Linked DNA regions of Arabidopsis thaliana. The protein of the gene in region 2 interacts with the protein of the main gene of each other region in a pairwise test. Each region holds a gene or a part of one and is shown on either strand. Other genes may lie near its edges.

Region 1 (6,716 bases), on a different chromosome or scaffold from region 2:
TGTTGATATGATATTTATGAAAGTCGCAAATCTGACCGAAAACTTCTAGTCTTCACGTTTCTTTTGATATTTGATAGACTGTTGAACATAGCATATAATTACGTAGAAAAAAAAAGGTGCAAATAGTTGCATGTAGATAAATGATTGGAAAAAATTAATCTGAACAAAAAATTGGACATTATTCTGCTCATTCCTCTACAAAATAGTAGATGAACTAGATTTTAACCCGCGATATACCGCGGGACAATTTATTTTTTTAAAGTAATATATATTAAAACTTGTAAATTTTAATTTTATAAAATATTTATATTTTACAGTTTATAATTGTTATTAAGTAACGCTATACCACGAATCCATGAGACAATTGTTAAAAATTTGAAGTTTTAACCCCTATTAAAACAGCATATTAAACATATTTTAAAATTTTATAAATATTGATTCAAATACATCTACCATATAACCCAATTCCAAAATAAAACCCGTTCTGTAATTTTTTTACCCGTCCCGTAATTTTTTTTAAAATAGTAATTTTTAAAATTTAAGAATTATTTTTTATATATAAAAGTTTTGCAAATTGTATCATTTTCTAATACATTTATATTTTATAGTTTAATTTTATATATAATAACATTATACATACCACATAACATTTTTGGTTTTATATAACCTTTTCTAAATTAGGATGATTTGATATGTTTAATATTAGTGGTCTTAAAATATAATAAATTAAAGATTTAATCCGTATTGAAATTGTGGATTAATTATATTTTACTTTTTTATTAATGTTGATTCAAAAACCCGTCCATCCAAATCCGTCTTGCCAAAAAGCCATTTATTTTATTAATGATATGACTCTGAATTATAATCTAAATATTTTAGCTAATAACAAATGAGTGCACCATATTTATTTAATAGGAGACTGTACCATATGACCCGAATGCACTTTTATCCAAATCCACCAAAAAAATCTTGCAAAAATACTATAGAGATAAGAAACGATAGTCGGTTTTGATAGGTATAAGATTAGCAACTATATTAGTTAGCTTAAATTAGTTAAATAATACAAATTGAAAAGGTATATTACACTTTATTCGAATATAGTATCAAAACTTATATAACACAGAGATTTGATAATTTTTTAATTATTGAATACTTTTTTTTGTGCTAATTTTTATGTGATTAAGATTTAATTGATTTCGTATATAAAATATTAAATTGTTTTACGAACTTATTTGTTTATAATTTGGTAACAGATAGATATTTGAATATTCAGTATATTTTGCTTCAGTTTAGGAAATCTTTGATGACCCGTCTTTAGATCCAATAAGCCCTATAATCTAGTTATTAACCTGCAGTATACCGCAGGTAGGCTTATACTTTAGTTAAACTAAAAACTTTTATTGTAAAGATGATTTAAATATATATGATATTATTTTATTTGATTTTAAATGTATAGTAATCTGTGAGTTGTATATATTTTGTTGATATTATCTATATTGTTTAGTGTTTAAGATTATACACTTGTAGTTTGATTGTTAATTTAAGAGTTTCACATGTAGTATATCATCTTGTATTAATATCGATCTAAACCCGTCAATTCTAGGATTTTTCAGCTTGTATTAAAAATTGAATCACATCTAATATGTTATTAATTACTGTAGTATATAAGATTATAAATTTTCATTATAATATGTGTGAAATTGAATAGAAATATTTCAAATTATGATCCGTTACTCAGTAGAAAGTTTTCTTAAATCTATTTTTCTTCCGTTATAATATTTTTTCATGTATTGAATAGTTTATATTCGTTTTTAAAAATTCAAAATATGGCATATGCGAAAAAACTCTAATTATTTTTTTATAATGATGATATTATTTTTCGGCAAAAATAGAATCATATAAAGATGAGAAGTGAACTATAATAATTAATAAAAAATTAATATGATAATTTAGATATCAAATCTAATTTGTTGATTTTAATTGGTTACTTTTTTGGAAATTAATAATGTATTTCGTTTTTCTAATTAAATTAAATTAATTAAAATTTAGATATCAAATCTTATATGTTGATTTTGATTGGTTATTATTTTTGGAAAATAATAATATATTTCGTTTTTTAATTAAATTTAATTAATTAAATTAGTATTTGACTTTTTAATCCTTAAAGAGATAAATTAATTTACTCTTTAAAATTTTATTTCTAATGGCATACCTATGTAATTACTTATAAAAGTTAAGGTTACATTTAAAATGTACTTCCCAAATAATATAGTAGGATAAGTTGAACAAATTTTCTATATATATATATATTATTTTTTGTATTGTTTTTGGTTAAATGTGTTGAATGAGTTTTCCAACTTATTTATCTCAAATATTAAAAAATAATATGAATGGTTATTCAACTCTTTCGACTTCTTATTTTAAGACAAATATTTGTACTCTTGGCTTGATGGATCTCTTTCTAAAATTTGAAGTGTTTAATTAGTTAATGTTTTTATTTGTCAATTTTTATTTTGTTTTAAAATCATTTTTTACTATTGAAATACTTTTTGGTAAACTTCCTTTGTTAATTTTTTTTTTTTTTTTGTCATCTCCTTTGTTTATTGTTTATCTTGATAAATTACGTAGTTTTGATAAACAAACAAATCGTTTATCTTAATAAATTAGGTAGTTTTGATTCACTTTGTTTATGGTCAGTTTGTAAAGAAAAAGAAAACAAAACTCTAGTGACTAAGCAAAGTTCAGATTATTGTTGGGCCAAAATATTTAGGCCCATTTTAAGCTCTACCGTCATTTTAACTTTTTATGGTCCAAAAACGATTCGACTTTTTTCCTGATTCGTGTAGAGAAAAATAAAAAATTAAATATAAAAAATTAAGTACTTTGGGAAAAAGCGAAACGTATCTTACCATTTATACCCCTCCAATCAAAATTGATGGTTTCCCCGATTTGAGAAATCTTTTTCATCATCATCACTCTTCCTCCTTCCCCATTGCTTAGTGTTGGTTCCCAAGTCCCAACCTGCTTCAATTTAGGTCGCAAACGATCTCAATTATTCACAATCCAATCTTTTCTTCAATCGATCTTCGTTTCTGGTAAATCCTCCGCCATCGATTTCCCCGTTTCTCTCCTTATCTTAAGATTCTTGGATTCGTATTTGTTTGATTGTCAGATTTGTGAATTGTTGATCAACAAACTCGTTATCAGTATTCAGATTGAATTATCGTTGAATTGAGGATCAGTTGATAGAATCTTGAGTCGTTTGTTTCAAATCGGATTTGAATTGTGTGTTTGTAGATCAAGCTAATAATAAGCTAGGAAGAGAGTTTAGTGAAGTAGTGAAGATGCAGAATCAGATTGATATGGTGAAGGATGAAGCGGAAGTAGCTGCATCGATTTCAGCAATTAAGGGTGAAGAATGGGGAAATTGTTCATCAGTGGAAGATCAACCATCTTTTCAAGAAGAAGAAGCTGCTAAAGTTCCTTATGTTGGTGATAAGGTCAGAGCCAATATTAAAATTGATCTTCTGTTTCATATTATTCGTTTTTTGGCTTCTACGTGTTATCTTGCTCTGTTTATTTATCGAAAGAAGTTAAAAAGGTTGATTGTTTTGGTTCAATGATGTGCAGGAACCTCTGTCTAGTTTAGCTGCAGAGTATCAATCAGGGAGTCCCATTTTGCTGGAGAAGATTAAGGTTACTTTCTGCTCTGTTATCTTTTTCGTGGTTTGTTGCTTTCAGTCTTTTTGAATTATCATGTTTGCAATGCTTGTAGATACTGGACAGTCAATATATCGGAATCCGGCGAACAAGAGGAGATGGAAATTGCTTCTTCCGAAGTTTTATGTTCTCTTACCTTGTATGTTCTCAGAATGTCTTCTATTTTGCCTAGCTCTTGTTTGTGTAGTTGGTTTTGAACTTTGTTATTTTGGTTAGACGTGGATTGTATCTTTAGTTAAAGTTGCTGTTGTTTTCTCTGCTTTGTTTCGTAGGAGCATATATTGGAATCACAAGATCGTGCTGAAGTCGATCGTATCAAGGTCAATGTTGAGAAATGTAGAAAGACTCTGCAAAACTTAGGTTATACAGATTTTACATTTGAGGACTTCTTTGCGGTAAATCGACCACCTTTTTCTGTTTTCTATTGTGTCTGCTTTTTAAATCTGGTAAGATCACCACCAATACTCAATTTCATCTTTCTTGAAAATACAGTTGTTCCTTGAGCAACTAGATGACATTCTCCAAGGAACTGAAGAGTCTATAAGGTAGAGAACTGTTTATCCAGATGGCTTTTTAATTGGCATTTAATTTTGATTTCTGTTTTCGTGTGGATAAGTTCTGACTTTCATGAAATGGCACAAGTCTCTTCTCGTTGTATCTCATCCTTTTTGCAAATATCTTTCTCTTACAGCTACGATGAGCTGGTTAACAGAAGTAGAGATCAGTCAGTCTCAGATTACAGTAAGTTACTCTAATTTTCTCTGGCGATGCATATCCAATGGTACATAGTTTTGACAAATTTTTGTTGTCTCAGTTGTAATGTTCTTTAGGTTTGTTACTGCTGGTGATATACGAACGCGTGCCGATTTTTTCGAGCCTTTTATAACAGGCTTATCAAATGCAACAGTGGATCAGGTTTGTACACACGCTTACTCTGTTTTGGAATTCAGGCCATTTGGTGATATGTTTGAAATTTTATTTTTCCGTCTCTGTGATATCTCTGTCAATTTTAATGTCCTTCCAAACTTGCTTGCTTTATCTCTGATTAGTCAGCGTTGTGAGACGTTAAGTCTCTTGCACTTATGTTTAAACTAAAGATTCTGTTGAAAGTTCTGAATACCTCCTCATAGATTATTAGAGCATAGGTGAATGCAAGATATTAACACTACATTGTTATAGTTTTGCAAGTCCTCGGTCGAACCAATGGGGGAAGAGAGTGACCATATTCACATAACTGCTTTGTCGGACGCACTTGGTGTTGCAATCCGTGTTGTGTATCTTGACCGTAGCTCATGTGATAGTGGGGGCGTCACTGTGAATCATCATGACTTTGTTCCTGTGGGCATTACCAATGAGAAAGATGAAGAAGCTTCTGCTCCATTTATAACCTTGCTGTATCGTCCAGGCCATTACGATATCCTCTACCCCAAGCCATCTTGTAAGGTATATAAACACGAAATCGCCATATGACCTCTCTTCCTTTTAGATTCGACGTGGATTAAATTTAATGATTGTGTTGTTACAGGTATCAGACAATGTGGGGAAATGATCATTTGACATATCGTAAATCGCATTAGGAGACGTTTACAAAAAACTGTGGTAATATGGATTCATGTGGATGAAACCATGGAACAATCAACAATTACCCCATCGATTTGCATTTTGATTATGATAAAAGAACCCTTTTTGCAACACTATAGAATGGACCGTCTCTTTACTTTGATATTGCCTTGTATTTTTCATGAATCATGATAATATCCTTTATGATATTTCTGATGAGCAAGTGGAATCAAAGGGTTTTCGATATTACCAATGGCAGAGTTCTAAGTTTGTTTTAATGGCCTGACTAAAATCTTAAACTTGAATATTTTTTTAAAATATAGAAAAGTGACGACAAAGAAATGCAAACCCTTTGGACTATTATTTTTGAGTGTCGATTGGGTCGAGAACCCGTGGATTGGGCATAAATTACCCTACCATGAGACGAGTTAAGGCTACAAATGTTGATGCTAAAATAATGCGGGCTACACGAGTTGGCTCATGGTGGATAGTGGTTTTGAGCAGTCTAAATGGATTATATTAAGTCTTGTAAATATTTGGAACCCCCAAAAACGATGTAACAAGAAGAAACCAAAAGATAAGAGCATGCCCATTGATTGAATCCTTATAAAAAATCCTTAACATTTTTTAATAATATATTTTGGTAATTTTAAAGTTTAGAGTTTTTGTTGAGTCTCTAAATTTTTTGTTATCCAATGGTGGAGTCCTTATGAAAATTTCTTTAAAAAGCAAAAATATTTTTAAAATAATTTATTTGATAAAACTTAAAAGTTATTAGAAAATATTACAAATTGTAAACATATATGATGACATAAAAGCAAAAAAAAAGAAAAAAAGAATACAAATCAAAAGGCTTCCAAGAGGAAACTAAAGTCCGAGATGAGAGGTCTATTAATGAAATTGTCACCAAAGGAAGAACATAGAATAATCTATCTCCAGCTCAAGACACTGTCATGAACTTAAATGAAAGCACGTACCTAGAACCAATTATTTGATAACATCAACTAAATGAGCAAACAAAAGAGCATAAACATAAACCTAGAACCAATTATTTTGTGTCACCAATCCGTTGTAATGCTAATGAGAAGTGAATAAGCAGCAAAAGGGTCACATTTTTATCTTAAAAACCAACAGATCAAACACAAATTTGAACATAAACCAAAGCTCAGAAACTCTATACGAAACCAAGAGAGAGGAGAGAAAGAAAAAAGGAAAAAAACTTGTTTTGTTTTATTGGTCCTCCAATGATATAGTGCCACGTCAGCGAACCTTACTCACCCAAAAATACCTTATTCAAGGTTCGCACCTTGGTTAATTAGTCAATTTTGATTTATTTTTTTGCTTCTTTTCATTAGGATTCTCTTAAGAAACTTGTAAGGTCCCTGCAATGGACATGCTCTAAGTGTTAGTGTCAATCCGTATTTATTTTCCTTTTT
Region 2 (6,380 bases):
TCCGCCTCCTTCTCTCTATAAGAACCGACACAGAGACGAAGAAGAATAATCACTCGAAAACTCATCAAATCAAAAATCAAACACAGAGAAGAGAAAATGGCCGCAGAAGGAGAAGTTATCGCTTGCCACACCGTTGAAGATTGGACCGAGAAGCTCAAAGCCGCCAACGAATCCAAGAAACTGGTAAAAACTCTCGATCTAAGGTTTTAAATGTTTCTTTCTGATTGATTTCGCTGCTTTATCGTTTCTGATCTTGGTCCTTTTGATTAGAATATGACGGATTCAGAATTAGGTTTGAATTGTCCCCAATCGAATTTTTGAGCTCCTTAATGTCAAATTTATGAACCCTAATAGTTTAATTGATTGTTTAGGAACCCAGAATCTCAGAAATTGAAACCCTAAGAACTTGATAGAAGCATCATTGGATAAAAACATGTTATGTGAATCTCTCAACTATGCATATTCAATTTTATGAATCATCTGCTAGAGATCACATGAAAATTGTCTTTAGTGAACCCATTTTGTATCTATGTTTGTATTATTATCCATGTTCTGTGAAGCACATGAAATGCATACATTTGTTATCTTAATGATGAACCGATGTCGTATCTATTGTTTGAATTATCGATCGGTGTAGCTTGTTTTCTTAAATATGGTTGTGTGGAAATGACACAGATTGTGATAGACTTCACTGCAACATGGTGCCCACCTTGCCGTTTCATTGCACCCGTCTTTGCTGACTTAGCCAAGAAGCACCTCGACGTAGTCTTCTTCAAGGTCGATGTTGACGAATTGAACGTGAGTTTCCTTCATCAATCTTACACTATCCCAATATCCAAACTTAGGGATTTTTGACTTCTCTGAGCCTTTATCTTGCTTGTTATGTTGTTGTGCAGACTGTTGCTGAGGAGTTTAAAGTTCAGGCAATGCCAACGTTTATCTTCATGAAAGAAGGAGAGATCAAGGAGACTGTGGTTGGTGCTGCTAAAGAAGAAATCATTGCCAATCTCGAGAAGCACAAGACAGTTGTTGCTGCTGCTTGATTTGCTTTTCTCTCTTACCTATTTTGCTAAAATATGTTTGGTGTTTTAATAAATCCTTTGTTCGCCCGAGTCTTTTCACCTTAAATGTGCTCTTATGTGTGGTGGTGAATAAATGTTGTTGCAAACTTGATTACTCGCAGCTATGCTAATTGTTCGTTCATGGTTATGTTTACTCTTTGGGGATTCTATTGTTATGTTAGTTTTTCAATTTTCAATTACATTACACCAACTAGTTATCAATCCAATTACATTGCCAAATACAATTTCGTTTTGCCTAAACTCTCCATGGTTTTTCACTTCAGAAAGGACAAAAGCACAAGGTGTTAATTCAGACACTGAAACATTTCAGATGTCATTTATACATAATGATCCGTTACAGAAAAAAAAGTGGGAGGCCATGAGGAATTTCAATTAGTATTATCAGTCTTGGGAAATTATATAAACCTCTTTTGTAACTGAAAGGAGAGACATCTTACGGTCGTCATCATTAAACCTTGTCGTCATGGAACCACCACCTTGTCTCTTTAGGAGACCTCCCGTTCTTGCAGTTCTTCACATATCGATCGTTATCAGTCGGGCGTTGCTGATATTGTCATCGACAATAAGACATAGTAAGAGTTGTGTGGCAGGGTCAAAAAGTTTGAATTTGTGACAACAATACAAAGTGTGAGAGATCAAATGTAGAAACCTTTTCGGGGGAACTTGATAGCATTGAGAGGATGCTGATGCAGACTGAACTCACTGTCATTGCTGGAGACCATGAGTCATACAGAATATCTACAAAAAGGAATTAGAGAGTGTGTTATATTAAGCGCATAATCCTAATGGACTTTCTCCTAAAATGAGGCCGGGTATAATCGTGATTATGTATTGTAACAAATGGTTCAGTTCCACCACGATTTCATTAGACCGGATTTAGATGCATTGAGAACAGATTTAAGAAATTTACATAAAACTTTCATGTTCTTATTGTTTAGTGAAAACAGCAAAACTAAAATGTGTTATTTGATTTTAACTCAAATGGGAGTTTCAAGTTATTTGATCAACATTCCAAAGGGAGTTTCAATATAACTAGAAATTGAGAGGCTGTTATAATCATGGATCAGATTCTGATTTTGCTAAAGAATTCACCATAGAGTCCAAAAGGGACGGTATTGGTTTTCTTTATGGCGTTGATAACACATTCACACCTAATTTCATGTCATGCGACGCTAGTATTAGGAACTCTTTAAGAATGAGACAGACTGAGAAAAAGGTTAAGACTGGTAACAATGTTGATATAATATATTAGGACTCTTAAGGGTATTGTTACTAACATTGCTTCTCTTTTCGCTACATTACATTCCGTGAACAAGAACAACCTATATATGTAAGTATCAAACAGATAAACTAATTTGATTGACACACACATGACTTGAGCTAGCATTTCAGAGAAACCAAAAAGTAAGAGCAAATGCAAAGAGTAAGTAGTGTAGAAACAATGAGTAAAATTACCTAAACAAATATGTCCATTGCTGTAAATATGAGGATGTAACGGTGCTGGTGGAACAAAAATCACCTGATCAAAAACCAAACACATGAAAATCAGAACACAGCACAAAACCAAGTAGAGAAAATGTCACTATATCTCAAACTAATTCTCTGACCTAAAACATGCAATACAACCATAAAAACACTCTGGTTTCAGTTAATTAATCCACAATTAAGAAATTTGAAATAAACCCTTAATCAAAAACAACAAATTTTTCAGAACAAAACCAACACAATGAAAAACTTGCCTGAGGAGCTTCCATAGGATAATGTTGAGGAAACTCAACCTGAAGATTATAAGTTTCATTAGCGTAAAGCGTACCAGGTGCTCCTGTTACCTCAATTACCCATCTTTAAATCACACAAAAACAAAAAAAACAATCAAAAATCGAAATGATAAATAATCAAAAAAAGGAAAGATTTTGAAATGAAAATTACTTTTGAAGATTATCAGTAACTCTGTGCTTAAACCCAGTCGGTGGATTTACTTGCCACTCTGATAACTCCTTTTGTAACCTATTACACGCGATCTTGCTTAACGCCTACACAAATCTCAAAAATTCAAAAAATCACAATCGGAGAATCAAAAAACACATAAGAAGACAAGAGTGAGAGAATCTAAGAACCTTGCGTGAAGGAGATGAAGAGCTTGTCATGGCGGAGACAAAGAGAGAGAGAGAGAGAGACGAAGACAGAGAGGTCTTGCTTAAGCTTTTGTCTGGATCTTTCTTCTTCTACTCGAATATTATTATTATTGAAAATGAAATCAAAAAGTGTAAACAAAAGGAAATAAAAATATTTTTCGGGGTGAGGAAAGGGCACACGTGAAAGAGTCAAAATTACAAAATTAACCATTTTCATCGGACGGCTATTAATCTTCCTTCGTGTTCACACGTGTCGTTTATCCTTCACTGACTCCACGGGACATTGAAGAGTCGATTTTATTTATAGATTTTTTTTTGTAACAAAGATTCTCTTACATTGTAGCTACCAAAGTCGTACGATCATAAGTACATAAGTTTTTAAGACAAAGTACATTACATTAAACATACGTCTCCATCTATATAATGTTTCAGCTTTCATTCTATAGTAGGCTTCTAATAGTTTATGGGTCATCATTTGGCCCAACATGAATAGCCACTTCTTGCTCTAGCTCAATACCATCTAGTGGGTCTTGAAGAGGCTCAACGTGAACTACCGTTTCTTGTTGTAGGTCAATACCATCTAATGGACATTGATGAGGTGCAATAATACAATCTTGTGACTCTTGATCTAGCACAATATCATCTTGAAGGTTTTGGTCTTTTCCATCTGATGGGTCATTAAGAGCCCCGATACAGTTTTGTGACTCTTGGTCCGGTCCAAGAACCCGATTGGTTTCTTGTGGGACGAGTTCTTGCTCTAGCTCAATACCATCTAGTGGCTCTTGAAGAGGCTCAACATGAACAACCATTCCTTGTTCAAGCTCAATACCATTTAATGGACCATTAAGAGGCTCAATAGAATTTCCAGACTCTTGATCCGGTCCAAGAACTCGATAGGCTTCTTGTGGGACGAGTTCGAGTCCGGCTGCGAAAAGCGGGAGCAAGACTAGATAATGTTTATGAGAAACGTAAGAGATCGTGGAACCGATGACGTGGACAATGCATAACATCAAAAGATATGCGTTTAATGTGTGCCAATAGAGGCTCCCATCGTTTGTGTAAAGCCAAAACACTCGGCCGCATCTTTGTATTTTCACTTCTTCCTCGATCAAACTTTGGATAAGATCGAGCAAAGTGAAGATTAATGTGTCGCAAGCACATACGATACCGAATATTTTGGCTAGATCTTTCTCCTTGTCGAGTAATTCTAAGACGAAGCAAAGAAACTCAACGAGGAATGCAATAGCAGAATGTGGTCGTAGACTTTGCCTAAAAACAACGAGTTTAATGACGGGAGTTAGGATCGCCATTTTCAAAATTATTACTATGTGATTAGAAAGCTCAAAATATACTATGGTATGAGGAGCTTTGAGTGAAGAACTTCGTACGGGGTGCTTTTTATAAAGACATGAAGTGGTTATTAATGAATGATTAGGGAGACAAAAGTCAAAAGTTAAGCTTGGAAAATTCCGTGCTAATCATAAAGATCTTCACTTTTCATTGCATAGGGAATCAAATAAACGTTTTAATATTTTTATGTTTGAGATCATTGCAAGTAAACTCTAGAGTAATAGATCAACTCTCTAATCATTTTAAGTGTATGATACAACGAATCCTAGCTGTTTGATGATTTACGACGTTCATGATTTCGGCATGTTAATTTTCTTTTTGAAAAAGTTGTCCTAGCTAATTTAATCCTAATCTTATTTTTATTTTTTTACGGTAATTCTATTCTTATTGCGCTAGAAAAAAATCGAAAATATCATTACTTAATTAATTTTATGTTTTTATAATAAAGGTACATCATGAGTGAGACAATTTTTTTTCCTAAAGTTAGTATATATAAAAGTTTGCAAATTGTTTTTATTTATAAAATATTTATATTTTATAGTTTACAATTGTTATTAAGTAAGATACCGTCAAACACGTCCCACTCAAAAATTATTTTATTAATGTTGATCTTATTTATGATATGATTTTGAATCATCCCCTAAACATGTTAGCTTTTTTTTTTCTTTTTCTTGTCATCAGATTTAAACATTTTAGCTTAAATCCATATATTTTTCGTTTATCAATTAATATATGTCCGTTTTCAAAATTTCGAATCACAATATATGTAGAAAAAAAAGTTTTTTCTTAACTTTATATACTATATGATGGTTTAAAACAGTTAAAACAAAATCAAACAAAAATGATAAGAGATTCAAAGTTTTAAATCTTAACCAAATCTTATGAATATTTATATTGTTAAATACAGAAGTATCCAGTGTAAAAGTCCGATTTTATTTGAACTGATCCAAGTAAGATTTAATGAACAAAATATATTAACGTGTACTATAGAGATGTTTAAGAAATTTTTGTTTGTTTCATACTATTTGACTGAAATAATTGGTTCAGTTGATGTTTGCAATTCTTTTGATTTGGACTAATTGATGTTAATCAGGGTCCAGAAGCAACAATATTTAAGCCACAGTACCAACGAGAAAAGAGGTAAATGCTTGTTTGAAGCACTAAATTACTGAAACGTAGTAACTAAGCACACACTTCACAACAAGCTTTGCTTTTGAAAGAGTTAAAAAAACAAGTTTCACATTGCTAATAAAGAATACGAGACAGTCATTGCAATGTCCTTTCTTCATCCCTAAAGCACAAGAAAGAGTGTGTACTCTCTCACTCTTTTCCAAAATCAGCGTTATAGTGCGAACTGGACTCCAGTTTCTTGGCCTCACTCAGCTTTCTCACCGCCTGCAAAAAGTTGGTTCATTTCCATATCACAACCAAGATTACAACATGATTTAACCTATTCTCATGCATAATATATATGCATACCTTCATGAAATCTTCATGGATCACATAATCCCGCTCTGCTCGGATTGCAAACATTCCAGCTTCCGTGCATATGTTACGCAGATCAGCACCATTGAATCCCTTTTTTTGGACCAAGGAAACATTTGGTGAGAAACTTACATATGAAAAGCAACATTCACTATCTCAGCAATGTAAGGAAAAACTAACCTCTGCAAGTTTGACAATAGCCTCGTAATCGATTTCACCATGTTTGGCGATACCAGCTGCATGGATCTTAAGAATATCCATTCTTGACTGCTCGTTTGGCAAAGGGATCTCAATCTTTCTATCTAACCTTCCCGGACGGAGAAGCGCA
Region 3 (6,433 bases), about 11 Mb from region 2:
AGAGCTGCAACACAGGTAGGCACAAGTTTTGGTTCTTTGTCACCATGACCAAGACGACTCTTGTCACCATCACCCCATGTAAAGAGCTTTCCTGAAGAGCAGTTACTAGAGCTCGAGCTCCCAACCATGACTTCTACAACTGCGGCTGTGTGCCATACACCACAGGCTGCCCGAACAGTGCGAAGACCTTTCAAGGAGTCTACCTCTCTAGGTATGAAAACACTTTTCCTGTCTCCATGGCCCAAAACACCAAAGGTCCCATCACCAAAAGTAAACAACTGCCCAGCGGAAGTCACAACAGCTGTGTGGTAAGGCCCACAAGCGATGGATGATACATGTATCCCTTCCATCAGAAAATTTACTCTTTTGGGGACCCAGTGACTGACTTCATTTCCATGTCCCAGAATACCAAAATCTCCTTTACCCCAGGTATACAAATCCCCCGATAGAGTAACTGCACAACTATGGTATTCACCACATGCTACAAGCTCAATATTTGTGGTATTGAGGGCATCAATGAGCTTTGGATGTTGAACATTGGAATCCACACCATGGCCAAGCCTACCTTCAGATTCCTCTCCCCAAGAAAAACTTTCTCCTTGTTTTGTTACAAGGACAGCATGTTGTCCACCGCAAGCAATATTCTGGACATCAAGTACTATAGTAGACTCTAAAGCTTTTGGCAGTAAGGAATCCATTTTGATCTCCAACGAACTTCCAACTCTGTGGTTTCCACCACCCAAAACACCTTCGCCTATTCCTTCTCCCCACATGAAAACGTCTCCCAATGTGTCTCCATCATCATGACCAGAACCATGGCTCGACGAACTAATCGCACTTGACAGACTAACTCTAAAAGCATCCATACCCATTCCTTTCATGTGACCATGTAGCGTATCTGAGCCTCCAGATGACAAAGAGTGAACTGACATAGTTGCCGAACCTGGGGGGAAAAAACCTTTTGGAGGAACTGCATACAACGACATGTCTGAAAATGCCTTGTCAACGCCATTCTTAGGCGGGCTCTCATATGGACTGTGAAGACGAAGGTGATTTGAGCCCTCCTGAAAGGTAAGAGAAATATTACCTTAGTTAAGTAATGCACAAAATGAATTGGAATATTTCATTCTAGTACCTTCTGGAAACTTTCATTGCTACTAAATGGAGAATGTAAAGGGGAGCTTCTCCGGGTATATGTTCTCGGACTATTAGCTTCGGATGGCGTTCCATCACTTCTCGATTCGGTCCTCCATTTCCGTTGATGACAACGGGATATCAAGGCTTTTAGACCACTAAACCACACTTCAGCCTCATCTTTATCCTTGCATATCTATGAAATGAAATTCTGACACCTAATTAATGAACTTTCAATAATAACAGGCATTTAAATGATGGAATAATGATTTCATAGAGGAAATTAGGAAAAGAATATACTATAAGAAAAAGCTCACCAAATCCAGTGACCTCTCGTCATATATTAGCGAGAACGATTGATATTCCTTCTCAGGACGTGGATATCTCTGAAAAATAGGCTGCAAGAGAAACACCATTGCAAGACTTGTCAGAATATCACACTAGATATGCAAGGTCCAAATATGCAACCTACGACTATGGAAACTGGCTCATGCAAATGATGCATGAAACATGCAAAGTCAAATCAAGATTGACCTGCCACGCTGAAGTGAAATGAAAAAAAATGATGAATCCAATCAAACATAGCATAAGCACGTAATCTTCATTTGAGTTTATGTTGATAAAACGACTCTAAGAAAAGAGCCTTGTGCATAACATACACCACTTGGAAAAATCATAAACAACAATTCAGATCACATTAGGAGGCCATCCTACTCACAATCATGACAGTAGAGCTCAGACACAACCAGAAGAAGATACTCTTATCAGATATCCAACCATATAAACGCATCGAAAAATGGATAATACTAGTCTAACGAACTTATTCTGAACATTTAATAGCCAGCTTAAGGAAAGATTAAATGACATGTCTACGGATGTCAAAACTTACAGTGCGCTGCCCAGAGATGATCCTGGAAACATGACTTAGCTTCAAATGTTTTTCCTCCTTCCCAGAAAACCATATCAAAACAGATTCATCCTGAAAGTTACAGGACAGACTATTTACTTGACACAGAACAACAAGAAGCTGCACACAGCAGGAAGCAGCAGAGAGAAAATATAACGAAACAAAAGGACTCTACAGACTCTTACATAAGAGTAAAAGAAAATGATATCAACACAACTTACATTCGAAAGGCGAAATGGACAGAACTTAGGCTTTCCCCTTCTGCCATACTTAAGCAAATAAGCTCCTTTTTTAAGAGCAGTGATAGCCTGAGCCAATTGATAAAAAAAAATAGTTTCCGTAAATAAAGCAGGTGAAGTATATTGGCAAGGGGTGATTTCAGCTTTAGATACAGCTATATAATAAAACTGAAATGGTCTTAAATAGAGATGAGCAATAACTATATCCTGAGAAATTGCACCTAAAATAGATTAACTGCTAGGAAAAAAACATGAAGTGCATTTTTGTTCTCCAATATATAGCTAGAGTCAAGCTTGGAGACTCCAAAAGTGGAATAGAGCTCAATCTTTAGCTAAAACCAGTCACACTAACCAAGAATCCCAAATCTAATTTTCAAAGTTTAAGCCACGCCTAAGAAAATAACCTTCTCTTAACCTTCCTAACAAAGGATTTGTTCCACAGAAAACCTAACAATTCAGTAGAATTGGAATCATAAACAAGACCAAAAAAAACCTGCTCAATATCCCTCGTCACTGGACCGGCTCTACTAAGATCCGACGGCGTCATTCGTCCGTTCCTCGACATAAACAAAATTCCTCAGTAGCAAACCCCTTGAGCCGAGAAAACCTCAAAAAAAATTCACACTAGTCGTCAAGCTCAAATCAATAGACCTCGTGCAATCACGAAATCCACTCCACATCACATCACTTTGATCGTCGATCTTGGATTCAAATTCGAAGCCAGAGCAGCTTCTTCAGCTCCAATTTAGATTCAAATCGATCCAAACAGTAGAACAAAAAGCGCCGTTTCAATCAAATGTAAAAGGATTCAAATATGTTCTTCTGGATGCTGAATTAAACTCTTCGAGAGGAATTGAAACACAGAGAATCTAGCTAGAGAGACATGGCATGATCTATACTACGCAGCTTAAAGCGAGCGAGCGAGAGAGAAGAAAGAGACCAAAAGGCAGATTCTGACTAGAGAAAGCTATACTTCTTCTTTTTTTCTGCTTTCTATTGATTTTTTAGATATATAAAACCCGTCATTATTCTCCTTAATTACGGGATATACCACTGTACACTCCCAATTAATTTACTCTCCTTAAACATTTTGTATTTCTGTGACTAGTAATGTGGAAGGCTTTTTGCGAATATCTGTTTTTTCAGCAAGCTTTTTTCGAATATTACTTTCGTGTATACATTTGCTCTTTTTTTTTTTTGGTTTAAATTTTTCTAATGATGGGACTTTAAAGAATTTAAATACCTACCACCTAATTAAAGAAGAATGATTCAATAGAAGATGTCATGCAAATTAAATACCACACATAATTATGTTATTTGTAATGGATACTCTATGACTATGATGTAATGTATTTTCTTCAAAAGTTATAAATCTTGACATTTTAAAAATTGCTTTATGATCTGTAACATGTCGTTTTGAGTGTACTGATCTGTCGCAATTCTATAGGACAGGTTAGAACTTCTGGTGGAGGAAGAAGGTTCGGGTTCTGTTTTGTCTCTTGTGTGCTTTGTTGTTAGTTCTTGAGGTATCGGGAATCATTCTCTTAGCATATCTCCTTTTCTCGTCTCGGTGGTTCGCTGTCCCACAGCCACTCTCTCTAATCCGGGCTCCTTAATCTTGACGAACAGATTTCAGAAGAACATCTTCTTTCTTCAACTACCAAATCTTTCGTTTTTTCTATCTAATTTCGCCGCCATGAGTTCCGTTACCGAGATCGTGTCTGAGCAGCAAGTGATCGACGGTATTCAGGATTTGGCCCTTCAAAATCAGGTTCTTTGTTACCCTTATTCAATTCATATTCTCGTCTCTTGATGAAAATTTTCAAATTTTAAATATGTTTGCTTTGTGTGTCGGTCTTGTTTCGGAGTTGGAGCTGATTCTGTCCATGATGCTTCTGCTTCTATGTGGAAATGTATCTAGCCTTGCTCCACAATATTAGGGTTTCGTAAATTTTTGATTTTGTGCGTTATTATGTGTTTAATTTCGAATTGGACGATTAGGGCTCTTCAGGTTTACAATGTGAAGTTGACTGTTGCTGAATTTGCTACTGATATTGTTTATGAATCTGCTTTCTTTTTCTCTTCATAACTTTCACAGAACTTAGGTCTCTTGTTCTTACATCTAAACATAACTCTTTAAGATGATGTTGTGTGTTCTCTGCATGTGGAGGTGATTTAAGAGATTTTATCTGAACCTCTCTCTCAGGACAAAAAGAAGATCCAGGAAGAGATCCATGAGCCGAGTTTCGGGAATCATGGTGGCTGTTGTGCAATATGTTTGAGTGAAATTCCTCTTCAAGAAACTGCTATGGTCAAAGGCTGTGAACACACTTACTGGTAATACTGTTGTTTCTTCTCTTTGTTTCTTTTAGATGATATATATCTGATTTGGTTACATCTATATTTTATTAGTTACAAAGTTTAGTCTGTACTGTAGTATGAACATATTGATTTCGTCAAATGAATTTTGTTTTCTTCTCACAAGTTTTCAGTTGTGGAACTTGGTTTTAGGTTTAACCTGTAAACTCGTGATCACCTTTTATCTTCTGTGTTTGCTTTTATGCCTACGTGGTAACTGACTTTCTTTCTACTTTGGGTTTTAAGAGGAGTAATTCATTTCTATCTATTTAGTGTGACATGCATACTTCGTTGGGCGAGTTGCAAAGAGAGTCCCACATGCCCACAATGTAAGCATCCATTTGATTTTCTCAGTGTCCACCGAGCACTTGATGGCAGGTGACTTCCCTTCTTTATTTACAATTTTGTGTATATATTAGTCGATTACTCCATTTGCTTGATCAAACTCTTTTTCTTATTCTTGTTTGGTTGTATAAATTCTCTTTTGTATTTCTATGCAGCATTGAAGATTTTCTGTTTGAGGAGAGTGTGTGCCTTCTCCTTAGAGCCTCATGGTTTGTACCATTGGATGTGGTGGAACAGGCGTCGTACAGCCATGGTTACCATGATGATTTTGACATTCCTTATGACTACGAGGATGAAGATGATGACCTTGACGAGTTTTATCTGCACGGCTCAAGTCTTCGCATAGGAAATCGGAGATGGGGTGGCAATGGTTTTGTCAGATCCGGGCGTCAAGAAGCCAGGCCTGTCCAGAGATACAGTGGTTCTGGTTCTAGTTCCAGTTCCAGCTCTGGGTCATCCTCAAGTGAGCCTAAGGATAAGCAGGTGAAGACGACAAACACAACAGGAAGACGTGCAAAAAGGGCAATGAAGCGTGAAGCTGCAAACAAAGCAGCGGAAGTAACTGCAGCAGCAAAGCACGAGGCCCATTTGGTTAGGTTGGGAAGGAAGTGAGTGTGTATCTGTAAATAAATTGCACTCAAAAAGCTTCCACCTACTTCCATTACTTAGTATCATCTGTACAGCAAGTAGTTTTTAATGTTGTGATTAATCCCTGTCAGACCACTATATAATGGTGTGGGGTTTGGAATGGTAGAAACAAGAAGTTGTGACTCATTGTCTCATACAATACTTGGACAACCATTGGCTATCATATTACTCTGTTCATTAAATCTTGTTATGTTTCTAATCATTGATCAGATGAGAAAGTAGTGTAGCTTTTGATTTTCTTGGTGTGAATACTGAATATGTAAAAATATGTCTAGATGAAGAAGAAAGACAACTTCTTTTTATGGATTCGTTGTCTGAGTTGGTCGGTGAGCTTTGGATACTAAGTTTGCCCAACTTTATGGCACAACAAGGGGTAGATCCAATGCAAGTTACAAAAATACGAAACCTATAGTATTCATATTTGCCAAAATCAAAGTCTTTTTATACATTCTTTTTTCATGATAGCATATGGTATAAATTCTATTTAAAAAATGTTGTTGTAAAACAATTTCTAAATTTTGCTTTATTGTTGTAAAATTTTCGGCCAAACTACGCAAATATTATATTAGAGGATTTTGGATATATGATTTTATCTTTTGAAGTATTATAATGTTCTTTTCTGTTTTAAAATGAATTGACTATTGAGTTTGAAGTGAAATTGGAATTGACTACTCAACAACGTGTGTCTCTTTTCCACCTAACCATTGTGCAAACCACGCAAAAGGAAAAATATCAAAAAAGTCTTTAAAGAGGGCAAAGAAATCACCCAAATATACGCATTCGTCATTTGGTCCCTCCACTT

Evidence for each region.
Region 1: the proteins of UBC18 (region 2) and AT1G28120 interact in a two-hybrid assay, tested with the Arabidopsis thaliana proteins (one large-scale study listed by BioGRID).
Region 3: the proteins of UBC18 (region 2) and AT5G19430 interact in a two-hybrid assay, tested with the Arabidopsis thaliana proteins (one large-scale study listed by BioGRID).

What each region holds. Positions count from the first base shown.
Region 1 is NC_003070.9:9,811,772-9,818,487, reverse strand, and holds AT1G28120 (ubiquitin thioesterase otubain-like protein), read left to right. Parts: upstream 1-2,927; 5' UTR 2,928-3,095; intron 3,096-3,297; 5' UTR 3,298-3,344; coding exon 3,345-3,500; intron 3,501-3,630; coding exon 3,631-3,696; intron 3,697-3,775; coding exon 3,776-3,859; intron 3,860-3,992; coding exon 3,993-4,115; intron 4,116-4,212; coding exon 4,213-4,265; intron 4,266-4,411; coding exon 4,412-4,461; intron 4,462-4,534; coding exon 4,535-4,635; intron 4,636-4,899; coding exon 4,900-5,163; intron 5,164-5,245; coding exon 5,246-5,269; 3' UTR 5,270-5,558; downstream 5,559-6,716. UniProt on the Arabidopsis thaliana protein: Hydrolase that can remove conjugated ubiquitin from proteins in vitro and may therefore play an important regulatory role at the level of protein turnover by preventing degradation.
Region 2 is NC_003076.8:17,242,676-17,249,055, forward strand, and holds UBC18 (ubiquitin-conjugating enzyme 18), read right to left. Parts: upstream 3,314-6,380; 5' UTR 3,230-3,313; coding exon 3,200-3,229; intron 3,116-3,199; coding exon 3,012-3,115; intron 2,925-3,011; coding exon 2,822-2,924; intron 2,602-2,821; coding exon 2,538-2,601; intron 1,821-2,537; coding exon 1,732-1,820; intron 1,627-1,731; coding exon 1,531-1,626; 3' UTR 1,312-1,530; downstream 1-1,311. Other genes in the region: TRX3 (thioredoxin 3), read left to right, coding at 97-183, 676-798, 897-1,043; AT5G43000 (uncharacterized protein), read right to left, coding at 3,679-4,527; RPT4A (regulatory particle triple-A ATPase 4A), read right to left, coding at 5,888-5,962, 6,047-6,145, 6,233-6,380. UniProt on the Arabidopsis thaliana protein: Accepts the ubiquitin from the E1 complex and catalyzes its covalent attachment to other proteins.
Region 3 is NC_003076.8:6,550,022-6,556,454, forward strand, and holds AT5G19430 (RING/U-box superfamily protein), read left to right. Parts: upstream 1-3,681; 5' UTR 3,682-3,976; coding exon of another isoform or gene 3,977-4,051; 5' UTR 4,052-4,115; coding exon 4,116-4,193; coding exon of another isoform or gene 4,194-4,221; exon of another isoform or gene 4,222-4,486; coding exon 4,487-4,617; intron 4,618-4,911; coding exon 4,912-5,016; intron 5,017-5,138; coding exon 5,139-5,595; 3' UTR 5,596-5,933; downstream 5,934-6,433. Other genes in the region: AT5G19420 (Regulator of chromosome condensation (RCC1) family with FYVE zinc finger domain-containing protein), read right to left, coding at 1-1,064, 1,136-1,330, 1,452-1,532, 2,024-2,113, 2,263-2,349, 2,532-2,612, 2,774-2,837, 2,932-2,960.